Linked DNA regions of Caenorhabditis elegans. The protein of the gene in region 1 interacts with the protein of each later gene in a pairwise test. Each region holds a gene or a part of one and is shown on either strand. Other genes may lie near its edges.

Region 1 (5,209 bases):
ATAAAATTTACAAAAGCATCGATGTTTACAGAAGCATATAGGTGTTCTTGTCCTTCATCATTCAATGCCTTTGGCCAGTTTTTGAATGCCCCTAGTCTTCATCGTCATCAACGTCCAACTGTACGACGATGGAGACGATGCCTACACCGAAGAGGACATAGAGTGAGAGAATGTGGCATGTAGCAAAGAGGAAAATGAGGGCAAGAAGCAGTCAGCAATAGCCATGAATTGAAACTGGATTCGGTGTCGTCGGCCCCCTGTATGATGTAGATGGGGCGTGGATCCATTGGGCTAGTGATGATGGTCACGCTGTGGAATTGAGAAAGAAGGGACGAGAAGGAGAACTAACTGTGAAAAAATTGGGGAGAAGCTCAATGGGTTTGCTTTAGGAGCAAGCCGTGCCAGGGTCACTGTTTGTTTAGTTTTTTTGGGTTAGGTTAGATCAAGGGTAGTGCTCCGTTTTTTGAGAATGACAGGGATGAAAATGATGTTGACCAGTTGAACTACCCAACTAGACACATCAGAAATTATGTTAACTCCAACTCGGCAAAACGTCGCAACTTCATAGCAATCTCCTGCAACTTAATAAAAACATTCATATAACTTTGTAAAAAGCTGTTAAGAAGTTGCGAAAACCAACGGGATTGTGAGCGAAATTTAGCTTTACATCTGCTAAAAAATTGCAAAAGTCGTCTGAAAAGCTGCAGAAGTTTGCTTAAAAGCTAAAATGCCTAATGGTTGTTAAGAAGTTGCAAGAGTATGCTACGAAGTTAGGCCATTTTGCCGAGAAACTTTAAAAAAAAATGAATGTGATGGCGTTAAAACTATCAGCTTTCACTGCGAAAAAACTGGGAAAATGGTTTAATATTCACAAAATTCTTTCAATTCTCTTAATACTTTAAAAAATTACTCCTCAAACATTTTTGATTTTTTTTTCTTTTTGGTAATAAAATATCACCTGACAGCAAAGTTTTGCAGCTTCAGGTATTTTTTTTCCAATTTAGAAAAATCTTATACTTGCAGAAAAAATTTGCAAATTGTATTTCTTGCTAACTGTGAGTTTTTAAAAATAAAGTTCCAAAATGTGTGTTTCAAAAACCTGCAAACTTGTTTTAAATCCACATGTACTTTTAAAATATGTTCATGGGGAGTCTCCAACGGAACATTTTTTCAAAGTTTTTTCCCGATTATTGATCAAATCGGAAATAATATTACCAAAAAATCTCGAGTCTTTCTTTTTTTCAACAGGAAAATAATTTGAGAAAAAGTATTTTAATCAGACAGTTTGAAAATTATTTTCCATCGGTCCTGATAAAAGTTTAAAGGGGTTACAAGAGAAAAGAAAAGCACAAAAAATATAAATACGAAAACTATAAAAGCAGCTGACTAAAAATGAAAACATAGATGGGAAAAAAAGAAAAAGCCGGAAGTAGTTTTTCGATTCACTCTGCCAAATTCTCTTCATCACTTTTTTGATGATTCTCTATTTTTTTTTTTGAAATGTCTCATATTACCTCAAAAGCATAGAAATAAAAAGAAAAACACGCAGACAACTCCGAAGTGATCTAACGAAAATCTCGCGTGTGAGTGTATGTCAGTGCCGGCCTGTCCTTTCTCCAACATAACGATATTGTTATTCACAGTTGGCATTTCTTTCGAAGGTGAGGGTACGCAGACAACACGTGGAAGGTGGCCCATGGGAGGGGGAGATGATGAGATGCGCGGAAAATGGTCGTCGGCAACGGCAACAACACATTGACCGGTGGTGGTACCGGGCGTGCACTACTAGAAGACACCACTCACTGACTCGAGAGACGACCTTCTTTCAATATTCTTCATGTATGTTATTGCGATGAACCCGACACGAGATAACAACCCGATGATGAGTGGTAATTTATAGGTTCGGGTCAAGTTTTATAGCTCAAATATGCTTTGAAAAACAAAAAGAAAAAGGACATCAAATTTGAAAAAAAGTGTATTGCCTATGTAATTTTTTGTGCACTCCAGAAAAGGTGAGAATAAATTTGAAATGTGACTTACGTCATTCAATGAAATTTTAGTTTTCTCCGGTTTCCATAAGCAAACGCCACAATAGTTAATCAGGTGACATTGCAGAATTCACAATAAAAAGTGCAAAACACTATGCATCAAAAGGCTCGGGCAAAAAATCCAGCTCCCATGAAAGTATTTCAGCATATTTTTAGAATTCTAAATAAAACCTATATCATTTGAAAGAGTGCCTTGGCAATAGGTTACTTTTAAAAATTGGCAACAAAGGAGCACATTGAATTAGAAAAGGTCATTCTGAAAATTTTTGACAAAAATCTTTGCAAAATTCTTTCAGGCCAAAGAACTGTAATGTTTTGTAATGACATATTTCAAGACTCACATTTAAAAGACATAAGTTTCATCTGGAACTAAAAACGAGCTGAAATATTTTTCTTGCTAGTTGTGCTATTTTAGAGATTTTTTGAACATAGATGTGATTGCCACCTTTTTAGGACATTTTTTAAAAGTAGACAATCGTGGTGGAAATTCGAAAAAGTTTAGTGAGCGCACTCCTGTTACAGTTAGAGAAAAAGTTATTAACGTGGAGAAATTATTTTTTGAGCTCTTACTTTTATGTTCATCATTATCAAATTTGCTTGTTCCTATTTTTAGTCTGATCTTTTTAATTTTTTAAAGTGTCAATAGCAACACAAACATCACGAGAAACGGAAGATTAAATTGGATACATCGGACAGATAGTAGAATTGAATCCACCGGGCGGGTCAACAGAGGTCAGTGTCACACATACACTCTACGATAAGCTTATGACGATCGATGATCGAACACCGCTGTATCCTTCATCACCGACCTAGTTTTCTTCAAATACTTACCGAATTTTCGTGCAGATGAGGATCCTCTTCTCTGAAGTTTTGGAGAAAGATGCGCGGCTCTCGTTGAAACGAGAGAAGGCCGCGATTCCATAAGCACATCGTCACTCGACACTTCTTCTTCCTCCGCCATCAACTGAAATTATTGAAGATTACGGACGTTTCAAGGTGTAAAAATATAATGTGTGTGAAAATATTAAAAATTTAAATTCCAAATAAAAAACTTTAAACTTTAAAAACAATCTCATGAAGCATAGTGAGAGAGAGAGAGAGTTTTTATGATAGTTTTTGTGGGAAATAAAGAGCAAACAAAGCAAAAACTGCAATTTCCCAAAAAATATAATATAAGAGTAAACATTTAGAATTAGTTTTTTAAAAAATTCAATAATTAGAGGAACGGAGTATATCTATTTGAGATTATTGTTAACGTGGAGAGTGTCCCAGATAACTTCTGTAAATTAAGTAGATATTTGGAAATTTTTTCTACAGTTCAAATTATGATATAATCTAAAACTAGACAGTTTTTATTCTGGAAACCTTCAAGGATGACATTCCCTAATTCCCTAAAACATTGCTTATAAGTCACGAGAAAACGAAGAAAAATGAAATGGAAAACCGAGGAACGACGTGGAAATGCATTTATCAGTGTTAAATTCATTGATAAGTTGGGGTCGTCAAATGATGACGAGCCGATAGAAAAAGTAATGAGAAATGGGAGAAAAGTTGGAAGAAAACTTCTTGGGAAAAGAAGGCAAACTCTTTTTTTTTCTACTTGGAGACGTCAGAGGAAGGAAATATGTAGGAGATGATGAGCTCTTCAAAGAAGAAAAGAAGAGAGGAATAAAATATTTGATTCGGTTGTGCAGTCGGCAATGTGGTGTCAGGATTATTACATTCGTTTTCTTATTTTTTAAAAAAATAAGAAAAATATTCAATTTACGGGGGAGTAGATGAGCTTATGGAGCAGGTTTAGAGCATTAGAATTCTCATTTGAAATTGGAATAATTCAGATTTCTAATCATAGTATTTTCGATGCTACGGTACTCGGTCTAAAAATTTCAACGAAAAATTATGAAAAATCGATGATAACTGTGTAGAAAAGAGAGTTTGAATCACAGTACACCTTCTCGCTTTTGACAAAAATTTGTTGTGTCGAGACCGGGCACTTTATTGTTGGCTAAAAATCGTGAAATTTTGCTTATGGGTAATAGCATGGCTTCTGGACACAACTATTTAATGTTTATTGACAATTAAATTCAATAAATGATTTTTATTCAAAACATGTGGTCGCAAAAGGAAAAATATGCTCGTTCAATGAAATCGCTTTAATTGAAATCAATTATGTAATTGATTTTTTTTGTTGCATTTTGCAGCATATTGTCTGGTAAATAGCACAACATTTTTTTGCTGCCACTTCACAAATGGGCCTTATGGTAAGTTTTACGTTTTTCAATTTCAAAAAATATTTTTTTAACCTAGCGTACATTTATTTCAAAATGTTACCACTGATTGTGAGGAAAGGAAAATTTCAGAAAACTCGATAGTCGGCAAAAATTAAAAGGCTTGAGTTATATAGCTTTTCAACAAGCTTCCAAGATTTTTTTTCCAGTTTCAAGAAAAGAGTATCATTTGCTGGAATTATTGTTGGAATAAAAACTCAAACTTTGCCGGGCAAGGAAAATCAGAAAAACTGTAATTAAACTTTGAATACATCAAAACCAGAATCCGAAGGTGTCAAATTCGGTAAAAGTGTCATTCCAAAAAAGATAAATATACATGGAAAACAGGAAAGTATTCAAAACTGTACTTTTTATCGAACCATATAATCTAGAACACTGAACAAGTCTCTCCACCGTTCACCACCGTCAACGTACGGCGAAATGGAAACCGGACGGATTTGGGAAGAAAAAGAGTGAAGAAATGAGAGGGGGAGAAAAAGAGTTTTAAATAATTCACACCACGTTTTCGCGGGTTTTTTGTTCCTTCATCTAAAAGATGCATATCTTCTAAATTGACAGGGGTCAAGCGCGTCTTATGTGTGTTTCTTTCAAATTACAAAAAGTGGGAGTCTCCGGAATTGGAAGAAAAGATGAGTATCAAAAGGGCGCGGCGCGCGGAGCAATCGCGGAACACAACAGTACGTTCGCTTCTTCCTTCCAATACAATTTTATATTTGCATTTCGGACACACGCACGTTTTTTCTCTCTCTTTCTCTTTCTGCTGACCGCACAGATTGTTGTATATCGTCTCTACTATTTTTGGGAGATGCTCGAAGAGCCCACGAGATCGCGATACGCAGAAACAGAGGGTGGTGAACTTTGAAACTCACCGAA
Region 2 (3,717 bases), on another chromosome or scaffold:
CGAAGCAGCAAAGAACCGCGAAATCAAGATCTCGTCTTCGGATGATGAAATCTTCTTGGTAAGCTGAAATTCGTTTGTTATTGTCATTTTTATCTGAAAAACTAGGCTTCGGGTCGATAAGACGCTTTCGCAGTTCTTATAGAAAATGTTTAGTAGCCTAGTTGATTTTTAATAAATCAACAAAAAAAGCGGCACTGTACGCTAGATGGCATGGGAAAAATTGCAATCTGAACTTCCAGGTCCCACGCAATGTGATCCGTCTCTCAAACACTCTCAACACTCTTCTTGTGGACCTCGGGCTCGACGACGATGAAGGAACCAACGCTGAGCCAATTCCAGTGCAAAACGTCACTGCCTCGATTTTGAAGAAGGTTATCAACTGGTGCACCAAACACCAGTCCGACCCAATTCCAACTGAAGACAGTGAGAAGAAAACGGATGGTTCCATCCAAGACTGGGACAAAAAATTTCTCGATATTGACCAAGGAACCCTTTTCGAGCTCATTTTGGTAACTTGTTATTTTAGTTGCAATATTTTAAATTCCTATTTTCAGGCTGCCAACTATTTGGACATCAAAGGACTTCTTGATGTCGCCTGCCAGTCTGTCGCCAACATGATCAAGGGAAAATCTCCAGATGAAATTCGTCGTGCTTTCAACATCAAGGACGACTTCACTGCAGAGGAGAGAGAGCAAATCCGTAAGGAAAACGCCTGGTGCGATGATTAAATCTCCATCTTTTCCCCTGTTAAACTTTCAATTACCTTGTTTTCTAAATGTTTCACATCATCCACCATATCTTTCCCCTTATTAAACGCACTTTTTAATTGTTAACAAATTTCTTCACTGCCAGCTGACACAACTGTGTACAGTTCTGTTTTTCATTCAATAAAGTTGATGTGAACATGAAAATTGCAAACAATGCAATTGGTTTTAAAGCCACAGCAATAGTATTTTTTAGTCTGAACAGGACTATAGATCCTTCACTTTTGAAATGGAAGATGACGAGATGTGAAATTCTAGGCCAAAGTTGCTTCGTTTTCCGCGCGCGTAGATTTCGAAATAAATAAAAAAACAATACTTTTCTCAGTTTTAAAAGCTACGGATCGTGTGAATGAAAATTACTTTCTGTGATTAATTGCGAATGGGGTTATTCAAGTAATGTATTTACATGACTTTATCGCATATTGCGCCTGACGCTGCTAAATCCCCGCATTTAACTGAAAGTTGCGATATCTTTAAAACGAGATCTATTTTTTCCATTTCTTTCATTTTTTTTTTCCTGATATTCTCCTTTTTCTATCTATCAAAAATCGAGTGCCGATATTCGCTGAAAAGACTATATTATGTACGCCGTCCGCTCTCTTTTTAATTTTATATAATTAAAAAACATTATCTCTGAATATCTGCAACTCGAAATTTAGTAAATATACCGTTCCTCCATTATCTTTCTAGTATTTTTTTAAAGACTTTGTCCATCCAATAAATTGTCATATTTGTCAATTCGTTCCCGCATTGCGTTCTATAACGATCGATAACTCTGCGTCTCTTCCTTTGTGTGTACACTGTTTCCTCGCTTCTCTACACTGTTTCCTCGCTTCTCTCGCATCATACGACACACTCACATTCTATTCGCTCATTTCTCAACGTTCTCATTCTATTTTTCGTTGTTTTTCTTTGTTTTGCAGGTATTTTGCGTTGGAAAATTTAAAACTTTTAATTTTTCTCGATGGAAATACTCTTAATCGTTCTTTTTTTTTTCTACCTGTTCTTCTTTATTATTTGTATGTAATCGTTCTTTTCACAATAATTTCTCAATTTCAATCGATTTCAACGCGATGGCTGATCAAAAGAAAGTATCCGAGGCGGCAAAGGAACGCGAAATCAAGATATCGTCTTCGGATAACGAAATCTTCTTGGTAAGATTCAAATTATTCCTTCGTTTTCGTTATTTTTGTCTAAAAAAACTAAATCGATAAGCCGTGCTGCATGCATGCGCGCGTAGAGTTTTGCTTCTTGGTATCCTAGGTGATCTGACTTATAGAAAAATAGACAATGTTAAATGTTCCACTATATTTGAAAATTCACAAACTAAACTTCCAGGTCCCACGCAATGTGATCCGTCTCTCAAACACTATCAACACTCTCCTGATGGATCTTGGACTCGACGACGAAGAAGGAACCAACGCTGAGCCAATTCCAGTTCAAAACGTCACTGCCTCGATTCTGAAGAAGGTCATTAGTTGGTGCAACCATCATCACTCCGATCCTATCTCGACTGAAGATTCCGATAACCGCGAGAAAAGAACTGACGACATAGGCAGCTGGGACGTCGAGTTTCTTAAGGTTGACCAAGGAACCCTTTTCGAGCTCATCTTGGTAACTTGTTATTTTAGTTCCAATATTTGAAATTCATATTTTTAGGCTGCCAACTATTTGGACATCAAGGGACTTCTTGATGTTACCTGCAAGACTGTTGCTAACATGATCAAGGGAAAATCTCCAGAAGAGATTCGTCGCACTTTCAACATCAAGAACGACTTCACCCCGGAAGAGGAAGAGCAAATCCGCAAAGAGAATGCCTGGTGCGAGGATTAAATTACCCTTCAGTTTGCCTATTTCTCTATTACATTTCTAAACGACATGTCGCTTCCTTCCCCTTCACACTTCACACATTGTCCTGATATGGTCTCTGTCTATTTTTTACATCATCTCTGGCAGCCCAAAAACTTCTTCCTTTTTTCACCTAATTAAAATGCATCTTTTGAATTTTAACCGCCATTCTATATTTATACCTATAAATCACCGACCGGCAAAAATTATGCAGTGTGAGATTCTCACACATTTCCTCCAATGAACATCAGTGTGTCCTTTACGTGATTGTACATGCCTAAAAATAAAGTTGATGAGACGATACAAAAAACAAACGATTTATGTAAAACATTGAAAAAAATATAACCCGTGAATGTATTTAAATTCTGATATGAAAAGTTCTAATGAAGTCAGGTGATCGAGAGACAACGTGTTCAAATTCTGCGAAGTTTATACTCGAGTCTCCATCCAAATCAGCTTCTTCAATAATTCGTTCAATTATAAATTCAACTTCTACATCACTCAGCTCATCTCTTGTTAAACTTCGAATCATTTTACTCAAATCATCATGTCCAAGAAGTTCATCTCCATCGTAATCTAAAACAATATTTTGATACTAAATTAAATATTATTACGCAGACCTCTAAGGACCGCTATTGCAATATAATTTTATCAGATATAAATGCAAAATTTATGTCATGATTGTTAAAATAACAATATGATATAATACAATTTATTTACGCGAGTTACAGTAACCCGTTGCCGGAATGGCGAGACGTTGCGCGTAAATTGTGGTGAAAATTCGCAACTATGGACGTCTACGTAATAAGAACCATATAACTTTTATGGATTGTTAATATCAAATGATTTTATGTCTAATCTCTTCCTTACCATAAATTCTGAAAGCATATTTCAGTTTTAACTGGAGTGGTGCCATTTCCGAAAACACTGAGAACATGTCCAAAAAATCGTCGAATGATAAATTTCCGCGTCCGTCTTCGGAGAAAACTTCACAGATTCGTCGTTTGAATGGATTTTCCTGAAAGTTTGTTATTGTATCACATCAAGTTGATGTGGCCGATATATAGATTTTTGATATTTCCCCCGAAGAGTACTATGGTACCCG

What was found.
Region 2: the proteins of dre-1 (region 1) and skr-1 interact in binary tests that used the Caenorhabditis elegans proteins (3 or more experiments, as listed by UniProt).

What each region holds. Positions count from the first base shown.
Region 1 is NC_003283.11:6,543,483-6,548,691, forward strand, and holds the start of dre-1 (F-box domain-containing protein), read right to left. Parts: upstream 3,010-5,209; coding exon 2,880-3,009; intron 290-2,879; exon of another isoform or gene 84-289; intron 1-83. UniProt on the Caenorhabditis elegans protein: Substrate recognition component of a SCF (SKP1-CUL1-F-box protein) E3 ubiquitin-protein ligase complex which mediates the ubiquitination and subsequent proteasomal degradation of target proteins including blmp-1.
Region 2 is NC_003279.8:9,469,727-9,473,443, forward strand, and holds skr-1 (Skp1-related protein), read left to right. Parts: upstream 1-1,823; 5' UTR 1,824-1,837; coding exon 1,838-1,918; intron 1,919-2,102; coding exon 2,103-2,378; intron 2,379-2,423; coding exon 2,424-2,597; 3' UTR 2,598-2,919; downstream 2,920-3,717. Other genes in the region: skr-2 (Skp1-related protein), read left to right, coding at 1-58, 240-509, 555-728; calm-1 (EF-hand domain-containing protein), read right to left, coding at 2,971-3,188, 3,483-3,630. UniProt on the Caenorhabditis elegans protein: Probable essential component of SCF (SKP1-CUL1-F-box protein) E3 ubiquitin-protein ligase complexes, which mediate the ubiquitination and subsequent proteasomal degradation of target proteins.